Linked DNA regions of Drosophila melanogaster. The protein of the gene in region 1 interacts with the protein of each later gene in a pairwise test. Each region holds a gene or a part of one and is shown in the gene's direction. Other genes may lie near its edges.

Region 1 (8,158 bases):
ATTCGGATCCCCATCCCGTTGCCCACCGGGCTTTCTTGCCCCAAAGCGTTGCCAATGTCAACCGTCACGAACACCCCAACAAGCCCACCCCCTGGAAACTCCATTCCATTGTCTTCGGCGTTTTCAATGCCGGCGCACATAAAAATTCCGGCTACGTTTACGGCGTGGACTACGCTTATAAACAAAGTTTGTTAATATTTCTTCGCCAACGGACGCGAAACTCGCCTCGCATCTCGCGCGTGAAAATCCATTTAGTTAAATGCTCGCAGGATGCGGAAATCACTTTCGAGATTCCAGAAATAGTACGGCATTTTAAAATCAATTTTCCAAACAGTTATTAAATGCTTGTCTATGGACAAATGGTTCGGAGAGAAACGTCTCTGGCTGTTTGGTAACCACCTTCCACTTTTGCCCAGAAGGTAAGTCGAACTTGGCATTGCATTGCATTGAATGGTAACAAAAAGTGCTATCCAAACATTTTTTCATTGTTTTGGCCTAAACTTGAACTTCAAGATTGGCGCGCAGATAGAGTGTTGCCCCTGATATTGTTTTGCTTAACGTCGGGCCTTGTGAATAACCAACCCTACAGTAAATAGTAATCATCGTATGAAAACATTGTGTGTCTCTAACTAACATTTAGATACCTTCTTTGAACGCCTTTGAAACTGACAGTTAAAAGCTACTCAACTTACACAAGATCTAACCAAGAAGCCACAGGACCAAAAAGGACAAAAACTCCAATCAAATTGAATTTCAATCAATGCGAGTATATGTGCACGGAAAAAAAGATGCAGAAGAACAAAAGCGAAAAGAGATGAAATCAAGTACAGAGACATCAAATTGCATTGAAATGCGTTCGGAGCTTGGATTTGTCTCCAACATCAACCCACTTACCATCCGAATTCTGACAGGCCAGACAAGCAGCTCTGAAGGAATATTGCATACTTATGGGAACGGATGATGTAGCGGTTTTTAATGCTTTTGATCCAAGCAGACGAAAACCCTATTTTCGGCAAATGTCAACGACACTTGCGTTTTGCTCGAAAGGAACAGAGGGAAATGTTTTTTTGCTGGAATACATATCTGACTGAAATAGAATAAGATATTGCCCATCAGACTGTAAGCAAATGATTGATACATAACACTTGTACTCGCACACTTGTTCATGAGAAGGTTTTTACAAGTCACATACTTTTCTTTGGTAATTATTGATAAGTTGTTTCAGGAGATGGATAGTTATATAATACAAGACAAGTTCATGATCATGACCCAGGACCCAAGGAGCGCAATTCATGCTGTTCTGGTAGCAATAACAATTTGATGTGTTTCATACATTTCCTAAGTTTATTTATGTGAAATTAGTAAGGGTTTTTTAAACTTTAATCAAGTTTATTCACATTGAATTGCCATGATCCCAAGATCTAAACGTTCATTGTGCTCAAAAAATGTTATAATGGGACTGCTTTGCTTATATCAGCACTTTTGGTGAATGGACTTTTCAACAGCCGCGAATTAGAATCGCGTTTTCGGTTTGCCAGCAGGATACTTACATTTGTTTGGCGCTTTCATGGCATTTGACAGTCGCTCTCATTCCCACAGTGGATGCCAAAACTCACAGGTGCCCGCCTCACCTTACATAATTGAATCCCCGCAAGCCGTTTTTTTCCCTCCAGCTTGCACCACTGATTTCGTGTGCCTCGCTGTGGCATGTGGCAAACTCTGCCTCATTCGCCTGCCGTCGCAACTCTCACTTCTCGCATTATGCGCCTGACTCATTTGCATGTTCCTTTGGCTTCCCCCGGCCGCATTTTTTCTGACCCAAAAAAATCTTAAACAATATGGAAAAGCATTGCCGGCACGAGACACGTCAGAAACAGAGCCGGTTTTTTGCACCTGTTTGAGAAGGAATGTCGCTCCATGCATAAAGTATTCATGATGTCCGTTGCATTTGAAATCATGTATCGATAAAATAAATAGACGAGAGACCGTCGAAGTGCAACTTAGTTATCCTGAGACCCTGCAGCCGTACGAACGCCTGGCGACGTGCAATGTTTCACAGCTCATCGTTCTACTTGCCGCAATCGTTACAGAACTCCTTCCTCTACCGCCTCATTCAGAAGATCCAGGTGTGCAATGAGCCGGACTTAGTTGAGACCAGGCAGTACAGGTGGGTCGATTAGCGCCGTTCGTGGCCCTAATTAGCTTTACCAACTTTTTGCGGAATGAAAGTGAAATGCAGTGCTAAAACGGGCAGAAAGGATAAACTTTTCCCAATGACATTTGAGTCGCTGCTGGTGGAGGTGGTGTTGCAACGGCCTTGGCCTTTCATTTCACACGCATATGCCTGCTTCGTCCTCCAAGCGCTTCAGCTCTGCTATCCCCGTAAGTAGGCAACGCTTTTTGCACAGACCTCGCACAAAGTTTGGGACACTCGGTGCGTGTGTGAGCATTTGGCATTAATGGCTTGTTATTTATTGCATTTTACGCTTGTTTTCCCAAAGGCCACGTCAACACAACCCTTACCAACAACCCGCAATATTTATATGGCCAAAAGGTTCAGGGACTTTACAAGGCGATGTTAGAGGTTTTGCTAAAAAACTTTACTTACTTGACATATTATTGCTATTTTAGCAAGTACAGACACTTGAAATAAACCCACAAGGCAGTACGAATATTAAACATCTAAAAATGTGTGGTTTCTCTAAAAATAAAGACCATTCAGTCTGACTTCAGTAAGCTAAACTCGTATAAGTAAATTTCAATTTTAAGTATCTATTTTAAAGGCCAGCTAAATGTTCCTTTTTCTTAAATAGAAGTGCTTTAATTCTCCTCTCATTCTTATATAATACCCATTACTAAATAAACTTTAGCGCTGCTATATCACACAAATACCGGGGGTCAGTATCAGAATGGTAAATAAACGAAGAGCCATTAAGCTGGGAAGCATTGACCCCAACATTGAGTGCAAACATCATGACAACGACATGAACAAATAATTGCTATGCGCAAACAACTACATAGAACAATAAATACAAAAATATAATTAAAAGCCACAAGAGCCTAGAATAAAGGTAAAATCAAAGTGGGAAAGGTTAAAGTGCTTTCGCGGAAAACAAAAGCTGTCAAATGTATAAGGCAAGCAGATGGTGTTTAAGTTGGAACGGGGTCGACGGGAGTTCTCAGTAATTATGCAAATCAGAAATCAGTGGGGTGCTGTCACTATACTTTCATACACTTCTTAAAGGTAAATTTCAAGGAAATTAGTTACCTAATACACCACACCGGTCAAAGAATTCGTTTTATATACATATACCTTACATATTGCTTATACAGTATGCGTGATTATGGTTCCTAATTTATGTTCGACGCTCACCTTCGTGTTTTTCCACTGCACTTAAATGCATTATTAATGAAACACGCAAGACCAAAACAAACAAAAACATAGGAATCAAAGTCGCCATTGGCCAACGCGGCGTATGTGCGATGTCCGCTGATGCAACCGAGCTGCTACCAACTCCGTCGCTCTCCAAACTCGTTTCTAGCCAAAAGCACCTCAGTCGATTGCCGGCTCTTAACGTCTTCACATCGTGTAGTTCTGCCAAAAAGTTATAGGGCTCTTTGTTTGGCCCAAGTGAAGGAAACACGGAAACAAACCAAATATAGACAAAAGGTGAACTGGAAAAAATTCGATACTGCAATGAAAATGTTTGAGATTTCTAAATTGTTTTCCCTACGAAGGTATGAGCAAAAAAAAAAAAATAAACAAAATTAAAAAAAAAAATTAACATTTATTATTAACATCATAACTTATCTTATTTGCCTGTGAACTGTGAAAGTTTTAAAGTTTGGACAGCTTCGAAAAGCAAACACAATAAGTGACCCCTGGCAAGCAAATTAGCTGCACAGCAATACTTAAGTTATTCAGCCAGGAAAAGCCATCCCTAATACTGTTATAATTGCACAGCGATTCAAACATTAATTAGTAATAAGGACCCCAAATAGAATCCACCCCCGAAGCGCCCACGTAGCGCGTAGTTACGACAAACTTATTGCACTGCTGCACCAGTTTAGCTATATGGAATCCTCCAGCAATCTGTGTCAAAGAACCCGGTTCATAAGCGACTCCCCTGCCTTCTCCTTAGACAGACGACTCCAGCAGGTAACCTCAAAATGTGTAGTGGGAAAGGAGCTGGGAAAGCTGGGAAAGAAGCACACCTTGAATGTCTTCCGGTAGTCGCTAGAAAAAACAACAAAGGGGAGAAACTTCTTGAACAACTTTGGGGGCAACTGCGCATGGATTTGGTTTTGTTGTGGTTTTTTGCTTTGTTAACTTTGGTCGCATTGCTATGACATTGGCCAGTGGGGTGGAGTCGACCTGGTCGACATGGGGCACAGGTCGGCTCTAGCGTTTCCCCCATTCGGTGCTCAGTTGTCAGACAAAACATACGTCCGCTCAAGCGGTCTACCCATTCAAATATTTATTGATCGACAGGCTTGGCGGAATATTCGGCGCATGGTGTGTATCGTAGACTTCCCCCAAAAGACTTTAATCAAATACATATATATATATATATATATGTCCTATTCATTCACAATTCAATTACTAACTCTAGTGGCAAATACGTCAGATATTAGCCAGATGGGTGCCTAGGTAAGTCATCTGCTTGCTACGTTTTCGGTGTCCTGTGTTGCTTTCATTTATTTGTGCCACCAACCAGCACCACCATCATAAGCACACAAATATTTAATTGCATGCCATGTTTATGACCCACACACATGTTAGCAAAAGATGCAGAAAGGCCCAAGCAGGGTTCAGTTACCCCGTTTAAGGTTTTGTGGCTGGCATTGAACTGTCAACCCGTGAAGTCCTCGACCAGACCGGTAATGCCAATTTCAAAGGAGCACGCTCTCGAACACCTGGGGCTACAAAATCGATTTAGTTTTCGTGTTCACGCTAGAAAGTTAATTACCCTCGGTTTCTAATCTAATACTAATGGTACAATTCTGAATGAACAGAATAAGTTATTTTAATCTTATTTTCACTTAAACTGTGTAAAAATGTTAGAATTCATTAGTCCATACACTCAAATCAATGACAATTCCACATAGGGTTATGTTTACTTGGGTCAAAAAAATCGATTTAGTTCTCGTGCTTATAAATGGCAGAGTAGTAATGATTAGGTTGTGTATCTAATGGCAATTGAATGTTTACAATATCGATTTATTTGATTAGCTATAATAGCTGCATTTAGATTGGAAAAAGTTAGCAGGAAGAAGTTTATATTGATGTACTTCGGCACATTTTAATTTATTATTATTACATTTTATTTAACAGTTCCTTTGGCCCACCAAAATTAACGTTTAAACCAAATAACTCATTCTAAAAGTTCTCTCATTTGTTGTTTGTTTCATTCCATCGAAATCGACTAACCAAATCATACCGAATTCGTGAAACCAAACCTCCAAAATGTTCTGGACATCCCCAAAAAAAAACCAAACCTATTCAATATAATAACTTGTACATATATGCATACACATCAAATCGTAAGACAGCCCTTGAAATAATACCAGATCGAATATCAAATCACTTCATACTCGCTCGCATATCCTAGAATGCAAGTTCGCCCCTGTGAGTCCACATGTGTTCGTGTCTGAGGTATCAAACAGAAAAATTCTTGAACATTTTGTGTGCCCAATGCAAAGCAATGCGACGTGCAAACATCAAACGTGGTCAATGTTTGAGCTTAAGGTAAAATCCACTCCAAACTCAAACTGAACGTTAGCCGCAATCGGGGTGGGAATTCCGGAATAACTCATACCTGTTAACTTCCTTGCAGACCACAAGGTAGCAGCAAAATGGATCGCTATGAGAAGCTCAGTCGGCTGGGCGAGGGCTCCTACGGTGTGGTCTACAAGTGCCGGGATCGGGAAACGGGTGCTCTGGTGGCGGTCAAGAGGTTTGTGGAGTCCGAGGATGATCCAGCGATTCGTAAAATTGCACTGCGAGAAATTAGGCTACTGAAGGTAAGCCTTAATAACTTAAATCACTTGAATCACTTAATCACTCGAAATTTCCTGCAGAACCTGAAGCATCCGAACCTTGTCTCCCTGCTAGAAGTGTTCCGACGGAAGCGACGCCTCCATCTGGTCTTCGAGTTCTGCGAGCTGACCGTGCTGCACGAACTGGAGCGGCATCCACAGGGCTGCCCGGAGCACCTGACCAAACAGATCTGCTACCAGACCCTGCTGGGCGTGGCCTACTGCCACAAGCAGGGCTGCCTACACCGCGACATCAAGCCGGAGAACATTCTGCTGACGGCCCAGGGTCAGGTGAAGCTGTGTGACTTCGGCTTCGCCCGGATGCTCAGTCCGGGCGAGAATTACACGGACTACGTGGCCACCAGATGGTACCGGGCGCCGGAGCTGCTGGTGGGCGACACTCAGTACGGCACTCCGGTGGACGTCTGGGCCATCGGTTGCCTCTTCGCCGAGCTGGTCCGGGGCGAGGCCCTCTGGCCAGGACGTAGCGATGTGGATCAGCTCTATCTGATCCGCAAGACGCTCGGCGACCTGCTGCCGCGCCACATCCAGATCTTTGGACAGAACGAGTACTTTAAGGGCATCACGCTGCCAGTGCCGCCGACGCTGGAGCCGCTGGAGGACAAGATGCCGGCCAAGTCGCAGCAGAATCCCCTGACCATTGACTTTCTCAAGAAGTGCCTGGACAAGGATCCGACCAAGCGCTGGTCCTGCGAGAAGCTCACAAAGCACTCCTACTTCGATGACTACATCGCTAAGCAGCGCGAACTGGAGCACGTCAACAGCCTGGAGGCGGCCAATCTCCGCCAGCAGCAGCTCGCCTCCCAGCAGTTCATGCTGGCCACGGCGGCCCAGCAGCTCCAGACGGGTCCTGCTCAGGCGGCGGCCATCGCGGCGGCCCGGGATAAATCAAAGGTGCGTACGGCAGTCCTCTCAGAGGATAATTCAATCTATTAGTATATCCTTTCGATTACAGACTTCAAACACATCACTACCGCTGCTGCCTAGCACGCAGCATCATCATCACCCGCATCAAGATTACGTGAAGCTGCAGCCCCTGAACAAGAATGCAAACCTGCTACATCGCACCGAGCATCATCTGCCCACAATTTGAGTTTGAGCAGAGAATTTGTAACGAAGTAATGTCCTTGAGCGAGAATTGAGCCCGAAATTTAACTTATTTACTGCTGGGAATAAATGTGTAAAAGTAATCCATTAATATATCACTGGGTGGAACGTTCGTAAACACTTGGCAACTCATCCCTTCGGGCCGAACTGAATTAGTAACTAAGTCTAAAGTGCAATTTTCAGCTGTCATCAAATAAAATGTGCTACATAATGTTTTATTCCATAAATTTTCAATTCCGTTAGTCCATGAGATTCGCAAATCACTCCAGGTTAATCTTTAATTCACTTTCCAGTTGCGTCCTGGCTCGAATCCTTTTCAGCCTTGCACACACACGTACATCGAATTAAAAATCCTTGCAGCATGTCGACTAGTCAAACGGTTACATTCCACCTCCAACTCTCACCTACTTGTTGAGCCTGGTCTGGATTACACATTTTTACATCTATTTAACCAGGAGCGGATTGGGAACAGCGGAGCCCTTTTAATAGAACATTTATAATTATATAATGTTATAAGTTCGTTTACTTTATATTTGATTCAATAAGGTCTGTTTTGCAGTCCTTTGATATATATACATGAACTGCTTGATACCCTCTTTTGAGGCTCCGCTCCTGAAGTATTTCATCGTCGACAGATATCGCCTCCTGGCGTCCATACCACGTTTTTTGGCAGCTTAATCCAGTGCTAAGCACACGGCAGATAATCAGCGACACGTATCGGCTTTCGTGTATCCTAGTCGTGTCCCAAGGACTTTGTTGATGTCCTTCAAGAAGCGTCAGAGAAACGTGTGCCCCAAAGGATGGTGATGAAAGGATTAGTGAAGCTTATAGCGCGCTGAGACTATTCTAAGGCGAAGCAAGGGCAGCAAAGAAAAAATAATACTAATGTTTGCAACAATATCATGAGTTGAAGCATCGAATTTCAGGCACTATTAGCTTATATCAGCTAATATTTGGAATTGCCCAGTTTTCAGTATTTTTCAGCAGAATG
Region 2 (6,017 bases), on another chromosome or scaffold:
AACGGCGCGTATCTTGCCCGTGTCTCCCTCCCAAATGTACATGTTGCCGTCATCCGAACCAGCGGCTATGAACTCGCCCTGGCTGCCCAAATAGTTGGCCTCCTTTATGTCCGTCGTGACGTTGCAGTGGCCCACATAGCGTTGCATATAGTCGCGTGCCGTGGAACGGAGATCATATTCGGCGTTCTTCAGACGCAGGTAGCGGAAGCCATCATCCACTTCCACCGGCTGTAGCTCGGGTGCCTCGGGGCTCTTTGACTGTCGTCGATTCTCCTTGATGTCCTTGTTCAGCATGAGCACGCCGTGATTGTTGGCGAAGTCGGGGAAACGCTGAATTAGTGCCTGCAAGCACTGATCCGCATCCTGGGGTCGATGCAGCTCAAGCAATGCCCTGGCCAGCCGAAAGTGGGCCTTCACATAACTGGGATCCAGACGCAGGGCCTCGTGGCAGTCCCTAAGTGCCGCATATATATCACCAAACCAGCCGCGTCGCATTAGAGCCGTCGCTCTGTTCAGATAGAGGACCTCTCCTTGTGGATATTTCGCCAAAGCCGCTGAGTAAGCATCAATTGCATCTACAAGTTTGCCGTTCTCAAGAAAGTCATTGCCCTCCTTCTTATACACCTCTATTTCGGTTGGCAGCGAGCGACTTCTGTGTGGCATCTTCACCGGCTCCTCCTCGTGAACGAGTGTTGATGTGAAGGCGGGCAGATCGTAGAAAACCGGAGGCTCAGCGTGATTCAGATCAAAGCGGTAGACGTGCTCGCAGCCTATGTTGACCAAAAGCTCTGTGCCATTGCCATTGAACGTAAGATAAGTGATTCCCCGTGGCTCGTGGACAATGTTCCGGCTGATGTTTTTCACGATCTGTCCGGGTGCATAGTACGCCACGCAGGCAGAGAGACCTTAAAGGGATAAGAGTTCAATATGCATATGTATGAGCTGCAGCGCCTACAAATTCAAGTACTCACCATTGCCGTTGGTGGAGGGCAGCTTGCGGCGATCGTACACCCGGGCAAAGGGATCGTTGGTGCCCACGGCCAGGTATTCCGTCCTTCGGGGATTTATAGCCAGACATTTGGCCTCTGTGTTCTCCAACTGATCGTGCAGGTTCAAGAGCCTGACACCAATACCTTCCTCGGGACGGCAGCGATGTGGCTCACGTATATCTAGCTGCAGGATGCAACCATCCTCTCCCGCCGACCAAAAGACGTGCGGCGAGTCCTGGGCGGTGGCCAAGCGCTTCGCCCGAGAAAAATGGCAAATGCAAGAAAAAAGGGTCTCGTTCGGGTCGTTGATGTCGTAGACGTAGATGAACTTATCCGCTGCACACGTAGCCACAATGCTGTTGTTGGTCTTGGGCAGAAATTTTACAGAGAACACATTGCCCAGATGCTTGGTCCTGATGACATGAACAAGCTTCTTTCGGAACGGATCCCAGATCATCACACGATAGTCGTCGGATCCGGAGGCCAGCCACATACCATCAGTGGTCCACTCCAGACAGTTGACGCAGCCCTCGTGACCGACGAGCACTGCCTCCTGCTCCAGCCTGTCCACGTAGGCCGGCGATGCCAGCAGACGTCGCCGGAGCATCTCGTCCAGCTCATGACCGTATTGCTGGCGCTGCCAATGCAAGGAGCTGGCGTTCAAGGGCGTGTGCTGGCGCTGATAGCGCGAACTAGAGTACTTTACGCGATACAGTTCATCGCTCGACATTATCTCCGACTGCTGTGGATAGGATTATGACACTTGTTTCCGTTTGTTTTCGTCTCGTTCTCCGTTTAATTCATTTTGCATTCGCTGATTTCCCCTGCCCCGCTTCGCCCCCCTTCCATCAACAACTTTGCTGTTGTTGACACCTGTGCGCGGCGTTGCCAGGCCAGCGCGTATCGCCGTAACGGTTTGCGTTAGCTTACGGGATCGAACAACCAAATTTCAGTTATGGAAAAAGTATTTCTTTTTTTAAACACCCGAGAAGTGAAAGATTAAGTAGAGTCTAGCACACAACTGACTTAAACCGCCTACGAAGGCAAACGTAAATTCATTTATAAAACCTCTTAAACTCTATTATGGCTTAAAAAAAGAACAAACAAAAAAAAACAGGTTTTACGTATAGTAAAAAAATGTAAGCCAATTGCAAGTTCCGCTCTAGCCGACCGTTTTTAAGGGCTGGAAAATGGTGGAAAACATTTGAGGGATTATAACAGTTTTACCATCTGGTAACACTGCCAGATAAACTAAAAAAATCGAATTGATTTATTTAATTCCACGGAAGACGCGACGTTGACTGAAAAGCTAAGACATGTCCAAAGAAAAGGAGGACGAGTGCGACAAGCACAAACAGCAGGCGACGGCGGACGCCAAGTCCACGTCGAGCGAGGATTCCGATGAGTACCAATCGGCCGGTGAGGGCGAGGATGGAGACGGCGATGGTGACGGTGATTCCCCAGCGGAGCGCCCGCCTGACAAAACCAGCCCCACGGTCGCCGTTGCGCCCACAGCAAAGGCAGCATCGCCACTGCCCACTGTGAAGCCAGCATCCGAGGCCCTGGACTTTCCTATGCACCGGAGTGTTTTCGAGGACGACATCAAGTCGCTGCAGCGACGACTTCTATTGAGCACGGCCCAAGACGAAGTGGGTAGAAAGGATAAGCACGGCAATACGCCACTCCATCTGGCCGTAATGCTGGGCAGAAAGCACGCTGTCCGTTTGCTTCTGGCCCAAAACGCCCCCGTAAAGATCAAGAACAATGAGGGCTGGTCCCCGCTGTCCGAGGCCATTAGCTACGGCGACCGCCAGACAATCACCCAGGTGCTGCGAATGCTAAAGCTGCAGTCCCGCGAACACATGGAGAGTCGGCGCGAGAAGCTGGTCAATGCGCTGCGCCAGATGCAGGACTTCTACATGGAATTCAAGTGGGATTTTCAATCATGGCTGCCACTGGTTTCCCGCATCCTGCCCTCGGACATCTGCCGGCTTTACAAGTCGGGCGCCTCCATTCGTTTGGACACCACACTGGTGGACTTCAATGATATGCGTTGGGAGCGAGGGGACATATCGTTCTTGTTTAGAGGTGAGGCGCCGGCAAGGGAATCGCTGGTTCTGTTGGACAATGAGCAGGAATGCTTTCAGCGGCTGCGATACGAGGAATCAGACATGGAGGATGAGGTGGATGTGCTCATGTCGACCGATATACTGGCCACCCAGATGTCCACCAAGACGATTCAGTTCGCACGGGCGCAACGCGGATGGATATTCCGCGCCAATCGCAAGGAGCTCATTGGGGGCCAATACCAGTGCGAAATTTACACCATCCAGGGCTTAATCCTGAAGCAGCGTAAGAGGCGGGAACACCTGTCACACGAGGATCTACAAAAGAACCGCGCCATTGTCGAGACTATTACCAAGGGTGCCAGCCAGCAGCCGGATACGCGTCGCTCCAGTCTAGGCAGCCAGCACACGGCCACGCCGCCGGAGACCAATACACCAACGGCTCCGAATGGCATCTCACTGCCGGAGCTGCCGCGTCGCAGCTCGCTGCAGGCCCCGCCGCCTCCCACAGTCACCTGGCGACAGTATCTCGATGCGGAGGTCGGTAAGTGCCCGCAACTGGGTCGGACACCCGTGCACAAGCAATCCAACAAGACGCTGCGAGCAACGGTAGCCATGAGCAAGGACTTTCCACTTAGCGTGGATATGCTGCTGGACGTTCTGGAAGTCGTGGCACCCCTAAAACACATCAACAAGCTGCGCGAATTCGTCACGCTGAAGCTACCGACGGGCTTTCCCGTGAAGATTGAGATACCCGTACTGCACACGGTGACCGCCAAGGTGACGTTCCAAAAATTCGAGTTCCGCGACAACATCCCCGCCAAGATGTTCGAGGTGCCATCGCACTATTGGGAGGATGTGCGTCGCTTTCAGGACTTATGACCAGGCGACGGAGAAGCCGCGCCAAAGGCCAAAGCAGCAACCGGCGGACCGACTGGAGCAGCGACTGGCGTTCATGTCGACTTGAATCGCAATGCGTCCTCGCCCTCCATTGCGGAGTTCGATTGATGAGGCGTCTACCGCGACACACGCCTCTCATTCTGCCTGTCCGCCTGTCCCACACATTTCATGTCGCGTTTAGTGATCACTCCAGCAAAAGTCGGAGGATACAGCTCGAACGCGGGCGGCTTGTTTATGTATGTATGCTTAAGAGGAAAACACCCACACACAAAATTGCAATTTTCACCATGAGTGAATCCCATACTCTCCCGGTCCAAATCCAAATTGGACGCTCTGAAAATTGCAATTTTACATTTACGTTTTGTTATGTACTGTATTTGTTTTTAGTCGCCTTCGCAAGAAGGGTCATTACTTAGTAGTATTTATTATGCACAGGCTCGTCATTTTTAACAGCCCGAGTGAATCACATCAACTTCAAATGGTGTTTTCAGATTGCCACCCTAATTGGTGGGGTGCGGTCCCAAAACAGCTGCTCCACTGGCGAGGAATCCAGAAGATCACTTTCCCAAATTGCCTTTCGTATCTGCCGATAATCGCGGCGGTACGAAGGTAAAACTAAATGTCCAATCTGCAGAATTGCTTGCTGATAGCCACGTTGACAGCAGCAATTTGCTAAGTTTTTAGTTTGTAAGTGATTAGATGTTGTCCAATATCCGATCGTTTCGCAAAACGTTTATCATTTTATTTATGTCCATACCCCCTTTCCGTGTTTAGTGCAATTTCATACATAGTTTTAAGGTCAACTGGGAAAGAAGACAGATGTTTGTTTTCGAAATCGAAAAAAAAAGAATCCACGTAACCGCTTGAAGAACGTTCATCAAACAATTGCGTTCTTCTTCTACTTAGGCTATGTGTACTAGAGAATCGATCGCAAAACCATTTCCATTTCGCCTTTCCTCGCAATAGTCTCAAGTATTTAGAAGTGCGCAAAACTGAGACCAGCAGCTTCACAAATCAATTATAAATAAATATTTATACATACGCATGTAACCAAGTATTTATTTAGTTCCATCTTAGCCAATTATTTATACTGCAAAGAGCGTCTGTACTTGCTTTGTATTTGTTAATCAACAAAACCAGCTAGCACCGATTTAGTTTCGGTTCGCATTGCTTTGCTGTGATTTTGCCCTCTTTAAAACAAAAAAAATATGACTAAACACCACCATGTATTTATGTATGTATAACTGCCATTGCTTGCTTTTATTCGGACACAATTTTTTATTTCGTTTATAGAACTCCAATCCATTTAGGTCAAATCAAGGCGATAATCAAATGAAATTGTTTTTAAACCGTAATCCTAGATCAAAACACATCTTCACAAGAATTCTGATGTAAGCAAAAATCAGTATATTTTACTAGGTAAGGGCAATTTATTGAAACATTTATATTTATACGTGGCCACCCTAACTGTAATTGAACCGAGCAATTGTATACGCTCTAAAAAAAATAATTATATACACAAACTGTAAATGTGCAAACCCAAGAGAATTTGTGTTTTATTTATAAACAAATGGAAGTCGTTGGGATTTGAAACTGAATTTGGGCGGGCGTTCTTCACCGTTACACCACACTGCCCGGCGGGGGTGTTCTCCCGCCTGTGCGCGCTTTTCAACACTACTACTGGCTGAATCAGCTGCTTGAATCACAAAATACGCACAAATTGAGACAAAATTTTGTTTTTGAAACGAAATAAGCGATAATTGAAGCCTACCAAGATGATTGTCCCACGCCTGGCACTTCCCATTAGCCTTGCCCTGCAGCGCGTGTCGCGCCGGGTGGCGGAACACCCCCATAACCTAAGGATCCTGCAGCGCCACATGTCCAGCGTGTACTTTCGCAGTGGAGCCATCAAACCCAAGCCCGAGGAGATGCCATTCGGCCTGCTGGCCATCTTCTGTGCCGTCATACCGGGACTCTTCGTGGGCGCCACCATCAGCAAGAACGTGGCCAACTTTCTGGAGGAGAACGATCTGTTCGTGCCCGCGGATGACGACGACGACGA

What was found.
Region 2: the proteins of CG7236 (region 1) and CG5742 interact in a two-hybrid assay, tested with the Drosophila melanogaster proteins (one large-scale study listed by BioGRID).

Annotation. Positions count from the first base shown.
Region 1 is NT_033779.5:5,706,401-5,714,558, forward strand, and holds CG7236 (uncharacterized protein), read left to right. Parts: upstream 1-1,990; 5' UTR 1,991-2,048; coding exon 2,049-2,167; intron 2,168-3,549; exon of another isoform or gene 3,550-3,697; coding exon of another isoform or gene 3,698-3,738; intron 3,739-5,502; exon of another isoform or gene 5,503-5,639; coding exon of another isoform or gene 5,640-5,749; intron 5,750-5,837; coding exon 5,838-6,024; intron 6,025-6,081; coding exon 6,082-6,954; intron 6,955-7,015; coding exon 7,016-7,153; 3' UTR 7,154-7,391; downstream 7,392-8,158.
Region 2 is NT_033778.4:18,147,596-18,153,612, reverse strand, and holds CG5742 (uncharacterized protein), read left to right. Parts: upstream 1-2,202; 5' UTR 2,203-2,305; coding exon 2,306-3,937; coding exon of another isoform or gene 3,938-4,063; 3' UTR 4,064-4,191; exon of another isoform or gene 4,192-4,446; 3' UTR 4,447-5,517; downstream 5,518-6,017. Other genes in the region: adp (adipose), read right to left, coding at 1-905, 972-1,719; EMRE (essential MCU regulator), read left to right, coding at 5,731-6,017.